Linked DNA regions of Oryzias latipes. The protein of the gene in region 1 purifies or fractionates together with the protein of each later gene. This does not show direct contact. Links are inferred from orthologs where the notes say so. Each region holds a gene or a part of one and is shown on either strand. Other genes may lie near its edges.

The links. Proteins that work in one complex are often made in the same cells at the same time.
Region 2: the proteins of uri1 (region 1) and gpn3 purify together in Homo sapiens (affinity purification with mass spectrometry; 3 studies listed by BioGRID and IntAct, with this or other methods). This does not show direct contact. The link is inferred for Oryzias latipes from reciprocal best matches to the Homo sapiens genes URI1 and GPN3.

The regions. Positions count from the first base shown.
Region 1 is NC_019864.2:30,474,779-30,484,575, forward strand, and holds uri1 (unconventional prefoldin RPB5 interactor 1), read left to right. Parts: upstream 1-3,264; 5' UTR 3,265-3,582; coding exon 3,583-3,657; intron 3,658-4,038; coding exon 4,039-4,073; intron 4,074-5,049; coding exon 5,050-5,128; intron 5,129-5,301; coding exon 5,302-5,437; intron 5,438-6,297; coding exon 6,298-6,389; intron 6,390-6,458; coding exon 6,459-6,516; intron 6,517-6,611; coding exon 6,612-6,786; intron 6,787-6,858; coding exon 6,859-7,087; intron 7,088-7,161; coding exon 7,162-7,313; intron 7,314-7,389; coding exon 7,390-7,624; intron 7,625-7,698; coding exon 7,699-7,896; 3' UTR 7,897-8,225; downstream 8,226-9,797. Other genes in the region: protein C19orf12 homolog, read right to left, coding at 235-500, 575-734. UniProt on the Homo sapiens protein: Involved in gene transcription regulation. Acts as a transcriptional repressor in concert with the corepressor UXT to regulate androgen receptor (AR) transcription.
Region 2 is NC_019870.2:16,799,067-16,808,947, reverse strand, and holds gpn3 (GPN-loop GTPase 3), read left to right. Parts: upstream 1-4,971; 5' UTR 4,972-5,086; coding exon 5,087-5,134; intron 5,135-5,290; coding exon 5,291-5,399; intron 5,400-7,633; coding exon 7,634-7,801; intron 7,802-7,910; coding exon 7,911-8,035; intron 8,036-8,132; coding exon 8,133-8,248; intron 8,249-8,914; coding exon 8,915-9,011; intron 9,012-9,103; coding exon 9,104-9,232; intron 9,233-9,318; coding exon 9,319-9,384; 3' UTR 9,385-9,624; downstream 9,625-9,881. Other genes in the region: E3 ubiquitin-protein ligase RNF170, read right to left, coding at 1-102, 238-369, 1,502-1,575, 1,820-1,934, 2,514-2,589, 3,087-3,226; arpc3 (actin-related protein 2/3 complex subunit 3), read left to right, coding at 9,845-9,850. UniProt on the Homo sapiens protein: Small GTPase required for proper localization of RNA polymerase II (RNAPII). May act at an RNAP assembly step prior to nuclear import.

The DNA of each region.
Region 1 (9,797 bases):
TGATGAATGATGAATATACATCAGTAGTTTGGCTCAACATCAGTCTCGTCTGTCGCTGCATAAAATAAATAAGGCTTTACAAGAGGATTAAAAGATTTAAAATCATAATCATGACAGATAATAAAAGGCAGCTGCTTATTTGTCTTATGAGTCCATAGTGATACATGATCCTATATCAGTTTTAAAGTCATAATTTGTGATGGCACCTATACATGTCCAGAAAAATCTATACTATCAGTCCATGTAGTGCACCTCTGCCTGCAGCTCCTTGGTGACGTAACCAACCAGAGCGGCGGTCAGCTGCTGCTTCAGCACGCCGTTGCTCATCACCAGAGCAATCAGCTGAGCCACGTCCGTCCACTGAATGTCTCCAAGGACGGCCATCACGTCATCATACAGCTTCTGCTGCTGCGGGGGGCTGAGCTCCATGATGATCTGCGGCAGGGGTTTGAACTCTCCGCTGGTCAGCCAGCAGCCGAGAAGTCCGCCCACAGCGCCACCTGCAGGAGAGGTTTTAAACTAGCGTGATCGGGGAACGGTCCTGAGCAGACGTGAAGGTGGATTTTCCACTCACCCACGGCGATGCCAAGAGGACCTCCGATCAGGCCTCCAGCGAAGGCCAGCCCACCCGCCGCCGCCGCTCCCTTCCCAGAGCCTTTCACGGCGGTCTTGATCTGCTGGTTGGCGGACAACTCGCAGCAGAGCTTCATGACTTCATCGACTCGTGGGGCCATGCTAAAGGTCAGGGTTCAAGGTTCAGACAGTTCTCAACCAGACGATGCGTCACTCGGATTCTGTTATTCTGATACTTTCAGAAATGACAAAAAAGGCTTCACGCCATTCACCATCTACTTTATTAAGACTTTCATACCGTTCACTTCACTCTACAAAGGTTAGTCTTATGATCTTTAAAAAGACACAAAGGTCCATAAATGAAAGAGATTAGAAACTGATTTAAAAAAAAAATTGGAGATAAAAAATTATTTTTTGAAGACGAGTCTTAAATATGTCATTGTTCTTTGATGAAGTTTGGTTTCTATTTATCTTTAGTTTTAGTGAGGCGTCCTTATGTTGGATGTAGGGAGGCTTCCGGACATTCTGTGTGTTTTATCATTTCTATTTACAAATAAAGCACTTTGTGTTACTGCACAAAAAGTGACATGTCAATAAAGTTTGATTTGATGTGTTATTTATTGTGACATTGAATTTATTTTTGATGATTTTAAAGGAAAGACTACATTCCTTTTCTTCTGTTTTTTTTTTCTTTTAATCATTTCAGAATAAACAAAGAGAAAATAAAGGTTTGGAGAATTTTTAAAAGGAAAGCTGTTTCTGATCTGTTAACGTTTGTTAATTTCATGACAATAAAGAGAATTTAAACAAACCTGAAGGTGAATCAGATGTACATAAGTAGGATTAACGTTTTCATGCTAAACACACCAAAAACATTTGATTTAATCTGGTGATGGTCAATATAAACTATTTCTTAAAATTTATACTTAGAATATTTTGTCCTAAATTCAATTAAAACCTTAAGAATGGATTAAACTTGGTTTCCGGTCTTTAAATTGGTTTTAAACAGCCGAAAAGGCGCTTTAATCATGAGTAAATTGAAAGGCTAACGTGATGCTTTTGCTAGCTGGCTCTTTTTGTCTCTTTCAAACTATATAGTTTAATTTAAAACATAAATCCATAAGCGGAATAAAAAATAAATATACCGGACATACCTGACAAAATGATGAAATCTTTGACCCTTCTTAATGCGGTGAGGTCATTTTATCAGAAGTTAGGCTTTGCTGATCACCATCTTTAGCTAACATGTTTGTGTGGGTGGCGCAATGCCCGACGGGAAAAACAGCGGTGCTGCATTCAGGAAGTTTCGGAGCTTTGTGTTTCAACAAAAACACAATTCTATTTATTTTTTACTCCTTTATAAAGAAGCCTCAGTCATTTATTTATTGTTGGTGGAATAAGTTTGTATTCTTATCAAAATAGCTAATTTTATTCCATAAATGACACGAGGGACAGGAAATACAACAATCGTGGAGTTGGACAATCTGAATCGAGTAGCTGAACCTAAAGAATCAGTGTTTTATAAAAAATAAAATAAAACATTCACGAAGAAAGATGGCATAGCATAGTTGGGCTAGTAGAGATGCCAGAAGTAAAACTTTCCATTCACAATATATAAAAGGCGTCATGTTGTTGTTTGTATTATTATTATGATTATAATGATGATTATGATTATTATTATTGCTTTGTTTTATTGATCCATTATCATTATTTTTGTTCGGTTGTCAAAAAAAGAATAAATAAAAACTTGAATTATAAGAAAAACAACAATGGAGTTACGGCTCATTTTAAATGTTTAAACTGTTTTTCGTCCTCTTTTTCTGGTAAATTAAACTAATCGTAACATTAGTAAAAGGTTTTTCCACATGGTTCTAAAGTAAGCAAATGATAGTTAATTTTTAAGGTAATTGGATCTGTGAACACTGTGAATGTATAACTGCAATCCAGTCATCATAAATGATAATTTGAGAAACAGGTGTGTTGTGCTATTTGAACACCACAGATGCAGAAAGTTGTCACATTTCGTGTTTAACTAAAATTAGAAAAAGTTGAAGAAGGCCTGTAAGTCAGTATTCCGGGCTGCAGCTGTAAAGTTTGATCAAAAGTGAACATAAAACTGTGATTTTTGCTGTAATGACGTTATATTAAATGCCGACATCAAGAAAATGGATATTTTAACTAAAAGCAATAATTCGCTGTTCAAATCCAACAGAACATCCTTTATTGCATCTTCTTTCAACTATTTATAGTGCATCCAATTGCAACGCATGCAGACTAAAGTTTTTTTTTCTGAACTGACAGTTTAATTAAAGCTAGAAGTAATATTTTTTTTCTTTAACGTGTGTTTCTGTTTGTTAGTTTTTATACGTTTTAATGCTTGTACAGCTCTAAGTTAAGATTCGGTTTATTTTTTATGTTTCGTAAAATATTTACAATACTAAACATTTACCCAGAGTGCACTCTGGTAGACTTTTCTAGACGTCAAACAGAAATGACACGCTTGGTTTTCAAAGTAAGAGCGAACATTTAGATAACGTGTTAACATTTTAAGAAAAACACATGTAAGATACGTGATAACGAAGATTAAATTGGCATGTAATTTATGGTTTGGTGTTTTGGGAGAAACTTGCATAAAAAAACGTTGCCCACTCCAAGTCTCTTCCGTTCACGGGTTTTATTTTGAAACTAAAAACCGGAACAGCTCCCGTTTCTTCCCCTGTGGGTCGATCTGCACAGCGAAAGAAGCGAGGAGTTCTCTGCTAACCTCTGGATCCAAACTCGGCGGATTTTTTTGGAGATCATGCAGAAGCCGTGAAATGAGCGTGTGAGATGATATCACCTTCGGACGTGAGGATTACCGTCGATGCCCCGTTGATGAAGGCGCGCGGGACGGGCCTCCGGAGGAGCTGCTGCTGCTGCGTTCATAAACACTTCTTTAGGACTCACAACAAACCCTGAGCTTTGGTGCTCCTCAGAGCCCCAAGGCACCTGTGCACGTGCGGAGTAAGGATGGCTGGAGGAGGAGGTAAAGCGAACATGAAGCCCCTCGGCGGGGTTCACAGGCTCCGAGAGGAGCACGAGAAGGTAAGAGGAGCGCGTGAGCAGATCTGCAGCTGCGGGCCACGAGGCTTGTTTCCTTCTGAAAACATCCTCCTCTGCAGACATGAGCCGCAAATACGGAGAAAGAAGATTCGTTTCTTTTCTTTGCCCTGCTTCAGGTGAATTAGATCAACCCACAAGCCCCTCCCCCAAACCTTTACCTGAGCTTTTACTCCTGCAGGTTGTTTGGTTTCAGACTCCATGTTTACAGGCTGCCTTTGCTGCTAACTTCTGTTTTTTCTCTCTCTCTCTCTTTCTCTCTGTTTGGCTAATAAGGAACACAAAACTCAGTTTGATAGCATGAAAACATGTATGTTGTGTTGAACGTGTCATGTTGTTCATGAAAGCATTTTTTTCCTGCATCAGGTGGTGAAAGACTGTGACTCACGGATTCAGCATTGGTAAGCTGCACAGTCCTGAAAGTTTCTCCTCTTCTACGGTTTCCTCTCTGCTTTGAGTGTGAATGTGTACGACTTGGATATGAATGCAACAAAGACGCTCAAAGTTTGCAGGAGAATAACCCCCCTCCCTTTTTTTTAAGCTGCAGTCATGGATTTAGATGATCGCATTTTCAATTTTAGAACTTGACGGTTAAAGCTTCCCATATTATTTTCCTCATATGGCAAAGACAAAAGTTTTTCTAGGATTTAGCAGTCTATCGCCACAGCATGATACTTCCGCCACCCTGCTTTACCATGGAGACACGCCCCCACAGAAGACTAGTTTAGCTCCTAAACCGTCCCTCGCCCACAGTCGGCCCTGATGCAACATTTCCTTTTGTGGTCCGTTAGCAACTTCCATATTTTTGCAGAATTCTCCCCTTTTTCTTTGCTTTCTCTTTCATTTTCTAGGATGTATGAGAACAAAATAATTCAGAAAGATGCAAAAAACAAACCAGATCAGCCAATTTAAACTCCACTATCTGATGAGGTTGACATCGTTTACTCGCACCAGGCGAATAATCTTAAGAAATTAGGTAATAATTGGCGTTTATTTGTTTAGGGAAACGTTTATTTTTTCTGCTCTGTTTTTTTTACTATATAAACTATAAACTTTCAGGTTATTTTGTGAGTTATACTCTTGTAAAAATGTAGTTTAAATGCATTTAAATGTCCTTTTTTCCTTAAAGATTTTCAGCAGTCATTTATTTTGGTTTTGTTTACAGTCTTCATGAAGGCGTAAAAGTTTTTTTTAATCTCTAATGCAAGTTAATAAAAGTTAAGATGTTTTGGTTTAAAGTAGTTTTCCTTATAGATGATTGTCATTGCCCCCTTGTGGCCATCTGAGCAATAACATCCTTTAACTTTACTCATCATTTTATACCCAAATCGCATCAATTGGGTTAAATTCTGAATATTTCTGTGACCCGACCTGCAGGATGAAGGTGTCGGGTGATTACGACGCGCTCAGCGATCGACTCAAAACCCTCCCAGACCGGCTCTCCTATGACATCATGGTGAGCGCTCGCCGTTTCACTTGACAAGTTTACAGAGTGACCCAAAAACCAAAACTTTACTGGAAGTTCTGTGTCTCCCGTTTGCTCCATGTTCGCGCCCACTTCCTGTCAGCTGCTCTGACTAACCCGGTTCTGTTCTGTGGCCCGTCCGGGCCTCCTTGTGCTGTGAGCAGGTGCCCTTCGGCCCGCTGGCCTTCACGCCCGGCAAGCTGGTGCGCACCAACGAGGTCACCGTGTTGCTGGGCGACAACTGGTTCGCCAAGTGTTCGGCCAAACAAGCCCAAGCGGTGGTGGATCACAGGATGAAGCGTGAGTTTCTGAACGGCGGCGTGTGGCTGCAGAGCGGCGGCCTGTGGCTGCAGAGCGGCGGCCTGTGGCTGCAGAGCGGCGGCGTCTCCAGCGGGGGGCGGCAGTGCGTCACATTCCGACAGCCTGAGCTTTACTTTACAGACGTTTCTGGGCTCAGGATGAAGTACGTCTTTGTGTAAAAGCGTTTGGACTCGTTCTTTACGTCAGTGACGGCTGCAGGCTTAGCCCCCCCCCCCCCCCCCCCCCACCACCACACTTTTGTGGCCAGGTTATAGACCGCTATGGTCGTTTGGCGTGTTGTCCGGACGCTACAGCCTTTACCTCCACATAAAAAAACCCTCTCTGATTTGAACATTATTAGACTGTTTAGTGAAGCAGAAATGCCCCCCCCCCGCCCCCCCCTCTCCTGACCCCCGCCATCCCTGCTATTACACAGCTAAGTGCTGTAATGCAAACACAGCGAGCTGAAATGTGTCAGACAGCGGCTGAGCTGTCTGGCCTTCTGCGTTTGACCTTTCCTCACTTCCAGTTGATGCACTGACTGGAGGGGCTCGCCATCGCCATGGAAACAAGGGCCCTCTGCTGCTATTAGTGAAAGGGCTTAATTGTTGTGAAGATTTAATGATCCGGAGTAGCATTCAGGGCAGAAGATATTATGAACTGTTTGTGTCATCATTTTTCTCCCCCCCCCTCGCGCTTTTCCTCGCCTTGTTTGGGGGTTTTAACTCTTCAGCAGCTGCTCGTCACAGCGATGCACGTTTCACGGCGCCCTGCCGCCGCCGCCGCCAGCCTCTGCGCGTTCTCGTTGTTGTCGGAGCGCCGTCGCCGCCTTCTCTCATGAAAATGCTTCTGTGTTCCAGACGTGAAGAAAGAACTGGACGACCTCGCCAAGACCAGGAAGAACTTTGAAGCGCGGGTTGGGCTCGCCAAGGATCTGGAGACCATGTCGGCCGTACGTGGCGTTTCTGCGAGTCCTCACACACGAACACACACACACTAATCTATTGACTCTCGGCTGTAGAATAAAGGAGAGTTTGTGGACATCAGAGAGGAGGTCACGAGCTCCACCGCCAGCAAAGGTATCTTCACAGAACGTTCTTCCTCCTCCTCCTCTTCCTCGCTGTGATTAAAGACGGTTCTCCTTCAGCAGAGTGACGTTTGCTTCTTCTCACAGGGAAGCAGAGAATAGCTCACAAACCAAACTCCAAACCAAAGCTGGACGTCGTGGTTGATCTAAACGAGGAGGAAGAGGAGAAGGAAGGAGGGACAGGAACCATGACCGAGGAGGAGCTGTGGCGCCGGTTGGATGAACTTGAAAGACTGGAGGAGCTGCAGGACGAGCAGGACAGGTAGACTCCGCCTCCTCCTCTGTGCTAAAGAGCTGAACTTCAGAGGATCCCAACTGATATGTTTCTCCTCAGATTGTCCGATACCGCCGACACGAACGGCGACGACTCATCCTCGTCTTCCTCAGAGGAGGAGAAGGAGGCCGCCTGCGCGCCTCCCGTCAACGGCCTGAAGCCCGGCTGGAGCCCCGCCCCCCACAGCGACCCTCCACTCCCCAACCGGAAAGCAGAAGATGACGAGCAGGAGGAGGAAGGCAGCTGTCTCCCCACCATCTTCTTCTCTCACACAGTTGAACCGAAGAAGGTGCGTTTACAGATGGGGGGCGGGGGCTCTTTGCTCCGCGGCGTCCGCGTTGAACAGCTTCACCTGTGTTTCAGGTGAGAATCAACACGGGAAAGAACACCACGCTGAAGTTCAGCGAGAGGAAGGAGCAGAAGGAGCATTCAAAGAGGAAGAAGAAGAACGGCCACAGCAACGGGCACGCTCACCACGAGCTCCACAAAATCACGTCTCCAGCGGACGTTTACAGGTGTGGGAGGGGCTAGCAGCTGCAGCTCACCACCATGCGGTTGTTCGGCGTGCTGATGGCGTTTGTGTTTGCTCAGGCTCTTTGTGGACGTGAGGAACGGCGAGCCCGTCCCCAGAAAGTCCATCCTGAAGTCTCGCAGTCGAGAGAACAGCGTGTGCAGTGACACCAGCGAGAGCAGCGCCGCCGACTTTGAGGAGCGGCGCGTGACGGGGCGGAGCTTCAGCCACGACGAGGCCACGCACAGCGACACGAGCGACGGCGTCACGGAGGAGGACAGCCCCACCGCCGGGCCTCTGCTGAGCCGCTTCGAGGTGAACGCAGACGCCGTGGCGGCGCGCGTCCGGCGCGAAGGTTTCCCGGCTGACGGCTTTTCTTCTCCTCCCAGGCCTTTTCCGGGACGGTGATAGAGAAGGACCCCATGCCCACAGGAGTCCCCCACCTGACCATCCTGCCCCCCGCGCTGCCCACCATCCCAGAGAGGAAGCAGGAGGAGGTGGCGTCGGACGTCACGCCGCCGCCGGTGCCGCCGGAGGCGTCTAAAAGATTGTCAAAGTTTAAAGCTGCCAGGTTGCAGCAGAAATGACATTTGAAGATGAGATTATTCTTTCACCAGTAAACAACTTTTATATTTCCTTACTGTAACCACGCCGCTTTCCCAGCATTCCCCGGGAAGCGTGCAGTAGCCACATAGATGCGTCTCTTGTTGCTGCGTTTGTGACGCGTTGAGCCGCCAGGTGAGTCTGGCTGCAGGCTCTGGGCGCCGTGGCCTTCCTCTCTTTGTCAGAACCAGGGGCGGCCATGTTGCTTTTTTTACCTGTGGACCTGCCTGGTGAATGTATGTTTTCCTCTCTGCAGTAAGAAAATAAGGAAATATTGATGAAATGTAGCCGGAAAATAAAGGATTCAAAGCTCTGGTGTTGCTTTCTTTGTGTTTTGTGAGAGAAAAAATGAATGGGTAGATGTGGATCTCTCCTGCTCTCCTATTCGCCCACAGGGCTTTGTTGTGTTTCTGCGCATCAGAATCAGGTTATGTCCCGCTTTTCTGCCGTCGTTGCACGCCAGCATAAAAAACATGGAGTTATTTACGTGAATTAAACCGCCTTTTCCAACAAAGTGACAGATTGTTGTGCACATTTATGTTTGAACAGCATTTCCTGTCTGAGTCCTTGATAAAAAACATGTTTCTTTAAAGGATTTTATTCATTTGTTGCCAAAAACTGTTGAATTTGAGAAACGAATGTGTGGTTTGCATTTGTTGGGTTTACAGAGTGGATTAAATGGGAGAAATTGCTGAATTTCTTCTGGAGAAAAAACATCTCACCAACGTTTATCAGGAGGAACTTTTCCTTTTGTGTCCATGAAGCAGCTTCTTGTTTCACTCAGATGTTTGCTTTAGTTGAATTTAAATACAATTAAGCATAAAGTTGCTCTACATTTATTTGGCGAGGATTCATAAAACACGAGTCTGAATCCAGGTTGTAGAATTGGTTTAAAAAAAACCTAATCAATTCATGTAAAAATGAATACGTTGATAGAATCTATGAAAAGGTTTTTTTCTTGAGGAAAAAAAGTTTTTGTTCACATTTACTGTTTTATGGATGGAAGTTTTCATTTTCTCATGGATGTAAAAACAGGTCTTTATCACCAAAAAAAAGGACATTTGTCGTCTGAAAGTGGAATCAAACGGACCTGAAAGGTGAATTTAGGAATAAAATCCCTTCAGTTTTTTTGTCTTTGGTGATTTTACATCGTTTCCCTCACAGATTGAACAAACCTGGTTTTGTAGTGGACCATATTATTTTTCTGTTCAATTACAGTCTGTTAGAAAACTAGACTGTAGATTATTAACTGGACTTCTCGTATAAAAGAGCCACTGTGATGAAAACCGTGTCTTTGGTGTTTCTGACATGTTCTTGTAGCAGTTTTGTAATGATGGACAGAAATGAAAGAATTTAAGATTAACATTCTGACTATGTCTTTATCCAAATCTGCATAAAAAAAATGTCATTTGGATAAAGATTGTATTTGTGACGTAAAATGCGCTGGGCGGAGCCACAAGCTACATGCCCCGCCCCTCTCTGATCATCCACCTGCAGACCAATAGACCCATAACGTCTAGTCTGAGCTGGAATCTGGATCTAAAGGGTCCGGCTGGACACTATGTCCCAGAAAACGACACAGGTTTTGGGATTTTGGCCACAAACTGCATAATCATAATTTAAAGACCACTGGGAAAACTTTTACAATAGATCAGATGAGGATTGGATTGTTTGCATTATTTTAGGAAAGCTCCATTTTTTATCAAATTTCTTCTTGCTTTAAATGTTCAGATTTCCGTATGTAATTGTGGATTTTCACAGGTAAAATGTTATTTTAATGTTTTAGTTCTTGTTTTTGACATTTACGAAGGCCATCGAGACAACCGTAGTTGTTAATTTGGGCTATACAAATACAATTGAAATTGAATAGAAATGATTAAAGAAT
Region 2 (9,881 bases), on another chromosome or scaffold:
GAGAATCCGAATTCTGAACATCCAGAAGAGCCCGCCCACTGAAAACATCTCCCTGAAGGCGTGACGAAGCAGGGTGGGAACGTCGCGCAGCCTGTCCATCAACTTTGAGTGAGAGATAGAGGGGAGGAAGGGGGGAGGGGGGTCATGTTTCATATCACAGGAAGGATTTTTAACCAACTAAACATACATAAACAATTATTTAGAGCAAGAAATAAAGTTTAATGGATAAACACTCACAGATCTGGGCTGGCCAGAGAACCTTCGGTTATAATCATTGATGTCTCTCAATATAAGCTGAGGTTGTGCCTCTCCATCCTGAACCCTCTGAGGAGCAGCGTGCTCATGGAAAAGGGGGAAGAGCAGGGTTACCTAGGAGACCAAAGAGGGGGGGGGGGGGAATCAGAAACAGGGAACGACAGTATCTGACGTCTGTACGTGTAATTCTTGAATTTTGCGAAATATTTTTGACTGTTCTTGGATACATACATCCTCTATTTCCCTTTAATAGTGGGGGAAAGTGCATAAATATCAGAGTGACTGTTAAACGTTTAGGGCAGACAGGCTCCAAACTGAATGTACTGCAAAACAGAATTAGTATGCACAGAAAAGAAAATGTTTCTAAAGATATATTGAACTTTTTTGTAACACCCACGCCCGAAATTCAATTTCAATCATCTTTTGATCTATTTAAAAAATGTCTTCCCAGTGGTCTTTTAATTATGATTATGTCGTTTTTATCCAAAATCCAAAAACCTGTGTCGTTTTCTAGGATGTAAATTCTGCAAAGCGGCAGGACGAGTTGTGGGCGGGGCCATTTTCTGTCAAGCATCTGTCTATGCGCTCTCCCGCTGGTGTGCAGCCCCTCCCGACCCCAACCTAACAATAAGAATGGCGAGCAACATCCAGCCGTACAGTTTGTCTGTTTGTCTGCAAGTGGATGCATCAGAATGGAGCAGAGCAGCGAGCTTGAGGCCCTCCCAACAAATTCTCTACGTCAAAAAAGAGCTCATTTTTAAACAGCAGTTTTTCATTTGCTCCTAATTCACAGCAATTTGAATTTTATACATGTCCTCCATTTGTAGAATTTGTTTTTCGCACATAAACATGTTAACAACACAAAAAACATAATTTTCATTGTAGAAGATCTTAAATGTTTTTTAAACCATTCCCAACAGATTATGCTAGAAAAAACAGATCTTTTCTATAGAGATGTTTAACTTTCAGCAACAGTCACTAAGGACCCTTTCCCAGTTTTACTAGAAAAATCAGTTTAGGAAAAAAAATAAAAAAATCATGTCATAAAACAGAGATTTTGGCAATAAAATATTTTTTGATTTGATTTGAAATGGTTTATTTCAAGCAATCAAATAGAAATAATATACAAAAACAATAAAATCATCCGTTATACATTCATACCATAACTAATCAAGCTTGGATAATTAGACATATTAATAAATATTGCTTGAAAATAAAATATAGATATAAAAGCAATAAAACTCACAATTTGTCTGCAGATTGGGCAGTGGATGGCACCAAGCCAGGTGCCATATCTCCAGTAAGCCATGATGCAGGAGCCTGTGTAAGAATATGTTAACATCTTAAAAACCATAAATAATCCACATCTAAGTAAAATATCTCATTGATGAGGGTTTGACACAACTTCCAACTATTAAAATTAAAACAAAACCTGTTTTACAGGAGATTTAGAAGAAATTAGCACAAGATTGTACAATTTCCTCACAGAATATCAAAAGTACCTTCACTAATAAATTGTGTGAGGAACCCCTAAACTATACTTTGCTTCTAAACTCTTTCTTACCACAGAAAAGGTGTCCACAGTTTGTTTCCACGGGCAGAACCGCCTGCTGCAAACAGACGGGGCAAGACATGTCTGTGTAGAACTGCTGCCTGGCCTCTGCCTGAGGGTTTTCATCCTGACAAACCACACGCAGAGAACACGTCTCACCATTGCAAACAGGACGTTTGACAAAATAAAATACACAGAAAGACATCTTCCTAAAATAGAATCGGTGATTCTGCAGAGCTGCAAAGATCACTGTTATGAAATATTTCAATGTAGTGGTTCTGATTCTGCAGTTCCTCCATTTCCTGTGTCTGCCTGCTTACATATGTTCTTAACTCCTCACTGAATTTTAAAGCCTTTTGAGGTGACGATGAGCAAACAGTTTAAACTCAATTCAATACTGAAGATACTGGCCGTCTGTATATGTATATGTATAAATATTTTTAAAAATGTAGTTTTAACTTACTCAGATAAATAAATAAATAAATAAAAAGGTTATTTTAAAGTATTACAACTCCAAGAGTTAAAAAAAAAAAACAAGCTACATTTATTTTCTGTTTACTTGTTTGATTTTTTAAAAAAATAGAGCAGTGAATGATTTTATTTTGAAACTCAGAATTAAGCAACAGAAGAGAAAAACGGCGCTCTGTGGCTACAACTAGTCTAGGTTTTGCCAAAAACTTTCTGGGGTTCTTTCTAGGTTGCGCACCTGTTCAGTTTGAAGCTGCTGTCGGACCGCTCGGACATGCTCCTGGTTCTCAGGGTGGATATTCTGCTCATCTTGCCTTAAAAAAGAAGACAAAGAATAATGATCAGACACTAGGATGAATTATGTCATATATGATTGAATTCATCCTTAAATCCCTGACTTGAAAAATCCAAAAACAAAAAGATTGCAACAGATTAACGCAAAGAGAGGCAATCTGAGTGTGTCAATTCTCACTTATGTGTTTCTGCCTGAAGGACAAAAGGTTTTCAACCGTCGTTGCGGTAAGAAATGGATCAATGAAAGAAAATTTCATAATGATGATGTAAGTAAAATGATCTGCCAACTTTGATTGGAGCGCAAAGACCATCATTTTGCTCGTTGCGCAGGGAAACGAGCCTGATCGATCTGGCGTTACTTCAGTCGCTTTAAATTCTAGAATTAGCTCCTATATCTGTGATATCACATAAATTAAACAGCAGCATAATTTCTCCAATCAGCAGAGAACAGCACAGTAAAAACACTGCATGAACTCAATGCTGCCAGTTTTTGCACAGACTTGTTGGTCTTCATTACCTGCAGAGAAGAGTGAGGAGGCCCGCCAGGAAGGTCAAACTGAGAACTACAACAAACAGGACCTGGTTGCTGACACCTTCGATGATGGTGTCCTCATCCTGGATCAGGTAGTCCAGCTCTCCACATTGACTATCCCCCATTCCCTAAACTCATATCCTATGACTCTGGAAAATGAGCAGAGAAAACAAACCCGGAAATTCTTTATCTCCAAAATAAAAGCCTTCAATGGAGAACAGAATCTTTTTAATTGTACATTTTCCTGACAATTTGACACAATTGTAAACATAAAAACCAAACAATATAATGTGAACAATTTAACAGAACAAAGAGAGTGGATAATTGTTGAAAGCTGGACTCTTTTGGGGTTTTGTTACCTCATTCCTGAGCAGCTTATCGAGAATTCTTGAAAGCAAACGTCATTTGTAAACAATTAATGTTTACTTATAGGTTCATTTATCTTAACGGAGGTTTTCAGACCTCATTACTTTTTAACGCTACACAAACGATTATTATAGTCATTTATAACTAGGATTTAAAAAAAGAGAGGATTATTATCGCTCGTAAACAAATACAGAGCCTTATGCTAACAACAAACCTTAAGGTAGTTCCTGAAGTGAAACTATTTCATATCACGTAAATCGAAAGCACTGACGAAAATTAACATGAACGTGTTTCAGACAGCAAAAAAAAATACAACAAAAAAAGAAAACATTTGTTTTAAAAAATAGAAAAACAAAGACTTGCCATAGTTAGTAGTAGTAGTAGTACCTGCTAAGAAGTCCACCGTCACGCGGTAATGTCTGTACACAAACTTGGCCTGTTAACTCCATTCACTTCCTCGAAACATACTATTAATTTAAGCGCCTGATGAAGGACGCAATCAACAAACTTGGTGAGCAGGAAGGCTTGCATACGTTTCCAAATTTCACCTGATCATCGCATGTTGATGCAGTCACTTTCTACTTCTTACTCAATTTTGGTGGTTTCGTTTGTTGACAGCAAAGATCCCTGGGGCTCTACCGCTCCCTAACGGCCAGTTTGTGAACAACTTATTGTCATGATCTTTGCTTTAAGTTTCATGGTTATCGTGGTCATATCATAGGCAGTTTAAACGACTTGTTCAAATAAATACATATGGTTTTAATAAAGCAATTTTAAAGTTAAAGAGCAAAATTTTTCATTTCCTGGGGAAACTTAAAAAAATGCCACAACTGACACTGCCACAGAATTTGCGACTCAATGGTAATTGACACACAAAAAGAAAACAATTGTTGCACAGTATTTTCCTCACTATATTGGTTCAATGCTCATCATCAGTACATTCGTATGGAAGATTTCTGTAGTATATTTTAAAATGAAAGTCAATACCAGAAATGCTTTTTCAATTTTTAAAATGAAGCTGCATTTGTAATAATTTATAATAAAAAAAAAAACAATCCGACCAAACCACTTTTTCTTTTTCTTCTTCTTCAACACAGCTCATTCTGTCACTTAATTAAAATGAGAAAGAAAATGGTATTCGACATTTTTTACTAAATGTGTAGCATAATGTAATTAGAAATATCTTCTTTGATCATCAAAGTTTATTAACAGAAATGCTTTTTCATTTTGAAAATGTAACTGCATCAAGTGAATTAAAAAATAAAATTACAAACGAATGAGCCAATCTGCTTTTCTTTTTCTTCTTCAACACCGCTTATTCTGTGGCATAATTAAAGCGAAAATGCAAAGATGGGATTGCATTTTTGTTTTCACATCCACCGTGCGAAAGGTGTAATAATTCATCACCAGTTCATTCCATTGTGGCTCTTTTTCAGACCACTGTCACCCTGACTTCCATTTCCTCTTTTGATCAGTAGGTGGCAGTAATGAGCCTGACCGTAAATCATCTACCGGAGAAGAAGAAGTAGCGTCATCACACCGATGCGTATGGCATTACAAGCTAGCGTCTGTGGTTAAAGATACTTAAGATCTTTATCACACCGCATTTTTCAGAGAAAATGCCTCGCTATGCCCAGTTGGTGATGGGCCCGGCTGGTAGCGGAAAGGTATGTTTTCAAAAATGCCACTGGATGGTCTACAGCCTCTTGTCTGTTGTTGCTAACAGTACATGAGGTGGTGTCAGTCACCCAGCGTGTTTTTATTTTGTTATTGTGTTTTGCCATTAATTGTATCTTTTTAAAATATTATTATTAATATTTCAGAGTACGTACTGCTCCACCATGACCCAGCATGCAGAGGCTTTGAACCGCTCAGTTCAGGTGGTCAACCTGGATCCAGCAGCAGAACACTTTAATTACCCTGTTATGGCAGGTTAGTATGCTCAAAATGAACCGTTTGTGTCTCCAAATATGAAAACAAAAAAATTAAAAAACGATCATGTTGTCATGGTAATCCATCTATGACAGCAGGATGTCCTTTCTGACGTTGGTAAATCCTTGTTAAAGTCTTGAGATCTGTTGAACCTAATTTACTTTTGTTTAAAAAAAAAGTATTTTATTGAATCTTTAAGTTTATATAATAATAATAACAATATTAATAATAATAATAGTGGATTGGATCTTTCTGCGCTTTTCCAGACGCTTAAAGTGCTTATTATGTGTCCATTATTCATTCACTCCTAAGTCATATTATGGATACACCTCAGTATTGAGAGATAGAATGTTACAAATTAAAGACTTCATTTGTAAAGTGAAGTAGAAAATAAGTATTTGGTCAATATCAAAAGTTCATCTCAATTCTTTTGATAGAGGTCAGACATTTTCATTGGGTCTTCTCTTTTGGTCCATTTCTCCATGTAGATCTCCTCAAGAGCTTTGACGTTACTGAGCATCACAGACTTTCATCTCCCTCCACAGATTCTCTATTGGATTGAGGTCCACAGTCTAGCTAGACCACTCCAGAGCCTTAAAATGGTTCATATTTTGCCACTTTTGTGTTGCCTAGGCCAGTGTTTTTCAACATTTTTTGAGCCACGGCACACTTTAACCTTGACAAAGACACAGCGGCACACCAGCATCCAAAAAAAAACTCAGTCTGTATTGATCGACAGCCCCCCCCCCCCGCAATCTCACGTGCATTTTTGTGATAATTGGGGCAGAAAAAACAGGAAGTTGCAGCTGTTTTTTCTAAAAGATGAAATAAAAGTTAAGTTAGAAAATTCAAAAACTGTTTCATGTGTGTTTGTTGTGGTTTCAAGACATTTAACAAGGACGACTCATTGTACGCTAAGACGCTGTCCCTTTAACCCAGTGCATCGTGGGAGATGTAGTGTGAAAACTGCCGCAAAAGGGCAGAAGCTTCAATGTTTTGTTCACTTGTTCCACGGTCTGACACCGGATTCTGTGGAAAGCTACACCGCTAAAGACGACCTTTGGCTGGTATTTTTGTTAGAACCGAGAGACTTTATGAGCTAAATCGGGACAAGGAAGTGAAGACTTTAACCACTTCTGATTGGTCAGACTGATGACATGTGATTAAACCTTCAAGAATGATTGGCGGAGACAGTTAAAGGGGCGGGACTTTTCCTAAAACAGCTAAAGCTGCAGCCAAATCGCGGTACCGTCATTCTTATCAAAATGTCTTTAATAGAATCAAATAAACACAAAGAAAAAATAATTTTGTGATCTTTTATATTCCTAACTACTCAGTGTTTTATCAGGGCCTGTTTGGATGAACACAGAGCTGATTTCCTGGAGATGGGAAATGTTTTTAGATCAGTTAATGAGGGCAATTTCCCACGGCACACTGGACCATCTCCCACGGCACACTAGTGTGCCGCGGCACACTGGTTGAAAAACACTGCTCTAGGCAATGTGTTTGAGATTTTTGTCATGCTGGAAGATCCAGGCACATTTCATCCTCAGTACTCCCACTGAAAGAAGAAGTTTTCTTTTGCCCAAAATCTCTCCATTCATCCTTTTCGTAACAAGGATCAGTTGTAATGTCCAGTGAGCAGAAACACAGGCCCAATTCATGATGTTTCCACCCCCATGCTTCACAGTAGGTAATGTGTTCCTGGGATGTGAATTGGCGATCTTTCGCCGCAAAAAACTGCAAGTGGCGTTGATGCCAAAGAGTTCCATTTTTGTGTAGTTCTGGGCGGTTTCCTCATCGTTCTCAAGATCATATAGCAAACAGGTGACGTTAACACAGGAAACATGGAAGAATTTCTTAAAGAAGTAACAGGTCTGTGAGGGACAGACATCCTGGTCGTTTGTAGGAGATAAATACTTCTGTGGTACTTTTTGCACCACTGAATAAATAAATGATTTCAAAATCCTAAAATACAATTTCTTGGATTCTTTTTTTTTTTATTGTCTCTCTCACGGTTGAAGTGTATCTAGCTATGATGAACTTTAGAGACCTCTACCATTTTTAAGTAGGACAGCTTGCAGAATCGGTGGCTGACAAATACTTTTATCGCCCGTCGTTGAAATTAGAAGCAAAAGTAGATGATTAGTGAAAAGTGAGATCCTGCGAAGGTTGTTTTTTTAAGTCCGTTTCCAGGAATTAATGCCTTGTGTTTTTTTTTTTTGTGCTTTCAGACATCCGGGAGCTCATCCAGGTGGACGATGTCATGGAGGATGACTCTCTCAGGTTCGGCCCCAACGGAGGCCTGGTGTTCTGCATGGAGTACTTTGCTAACAACTTCGACTGGCTGGAGGAAAGCTTAGGTCACGTGGAAGACGATTACATACTGTTCGACTGCCCAGGTAAAAGCCTCAGCTCGGTTTCTGCAGGGAGTTGAGGGTTCGTGATTGTAAATCCAGCATCCGGAGGTGTTCTGGTACCGGATGTAATTTGTTTTTTTTTTCTCTGCAGGTCAGATTGAACTGTACACCCACCTGCCTGTGATGAGGCAGCTGGTGGAGCAGCTCCAACAGTGGGAGTTTCGGGTTTGCGGAGTGTTTTTGGTTGATTCCCAGTTCATGGTGGAATCTTTTAAGGTATATATATGTATCCTTTGCTCTGTGTTGTTATTTTTGTTTGTTTGTGTAGAACCTGAACTGATCAGCACCAGCTTTTCTCTTTGTTTCCCTGCAGTTTATCTCTGGAGTCATGGCTGCCCTCAGCGCCATGGTGTCCCTGGAAATTCCACAAGTGAACATCATGACAAAGATGGACCTGCTGAGCCCCAAAGCCAAGAAGGAAATTGAAAAGTACGGACAAAGCACATCTGCCAGCTTTCAGAAAAAAATTAAAACGCCACAGAATTGATTATTTACAACCATTCTTAATACAGTCAGAAAACAAAATCAAGCAAATGTAGAGATTAATTTAGAAAAATAGAAACATCTGAAGAGGTGAGTTTGGAAAAACTAAAGAAAAGCTGCCTTTATTACTAGTTTCTTACAGATTAAAACCCAGCAAGTTCCACAAGGTTCCACTTAATGATTGGAAAAATAAACTTAATTTATTTTTTGCCTACATACATTCATTTATTAAAAGTAACGTTTAAATATTTACAATAATTAAACTAAAAATGATAAATATATAGTGATAAATTTAATATTTTTATGAAGTCCAAATACAACAGAAATTATTTAAAATACTCACTTTTATTGCCAGTAATGACATATTTTTGATAATTAACAGTTTAGCAAGTATTTGCTGACTAGAATTTAGATTTCTCAAAGTGTAGGTTGGACCTGCTGGGAAACAAACATAAAGTTTTGCTTATGGTTTTTGTTTTTCTATGTTAAAAGCATGAATGAACACTTTTGATTTATTTATTTTGATTTTTCTTTAACTGAGTGTTGTAAGTTTGCAGAAGTAAGTAAATGTTCCTTCATGAAATGCGTGTTTGTGTTGTTGTTTTTTTGAAGGTATCTGGACCCAGACATGTACTCAATGATGGAAGATAGCTCCCATACAATCAGAAGCGCCAAGTTCAAGAAGCTAACCAAAGCTATTTGTGATCTTGTAAGTGGACTTGCAGCTTTGTGGCCTAATCTGTTGTCGTGTGTCATTGCTGATTTTTTAAAATTCTCTAAACATTTGGCTTCTTTGTCCAGATAGATGACTACAGTATGGTAAGGTTTCTGCCCTTTGACCGGACTGATGAGGAGGGTATTAACATAGTGCTGCAGCACATCGACTTTTCCATTCAGTATGGAGAGGACCTGGAGTTAAAGGAGCCAAAGGTGAGAACATCTCTAGAGAAAAGATGATTTCTTTGATCTTTGATCTTTTATGTGACATTTGAGGTTTTGCTTTTTGTCTTTTGCAGGAAGGGGATGAAGAACCAGCTAATCTAAATTATGACGAGATATTCCAAGACACAGTTGGCAGCTGAAGCTGGAATCCAGATACAATAGTTGACAACGATGTTTGACTGATTGAAAGGTTGCATTGACTGCATGATTTAAACAAAAACAAAAAAGAAAAGAAATTTGAGTTTTTTATTGGGTGTTTTTTAGCCTCATCGTTTCGTTTTTTTGTTTTGTTTCTGTGTTGATTCTGTGGAAAACTCTGATTTATTATCAAAGGAAGATATAATGCTATTTATTTTTTCTAATAAAATCAATAAAACACATGCCTTGTTGCTTTGTAAAATCATAAAGTCACAAACTAAAAACAAAATGTCAAAAATGGCCTTGTAAACTCAAACCACGTGTCAGCGCCCCCAAGTGGTTGCAACGCCACATGACATCCAGCCACTTCCTGTAACTCAAAGGGTGCGACAGCCGGAAGTAGCGTCTCGCTGTGCTGACATTCCACTTGCTGAGCAGTTGGATTGATAGATTTCAGTCAACATGCCGGTTAGTAAATACCATCCTTCATGCCTTTTTT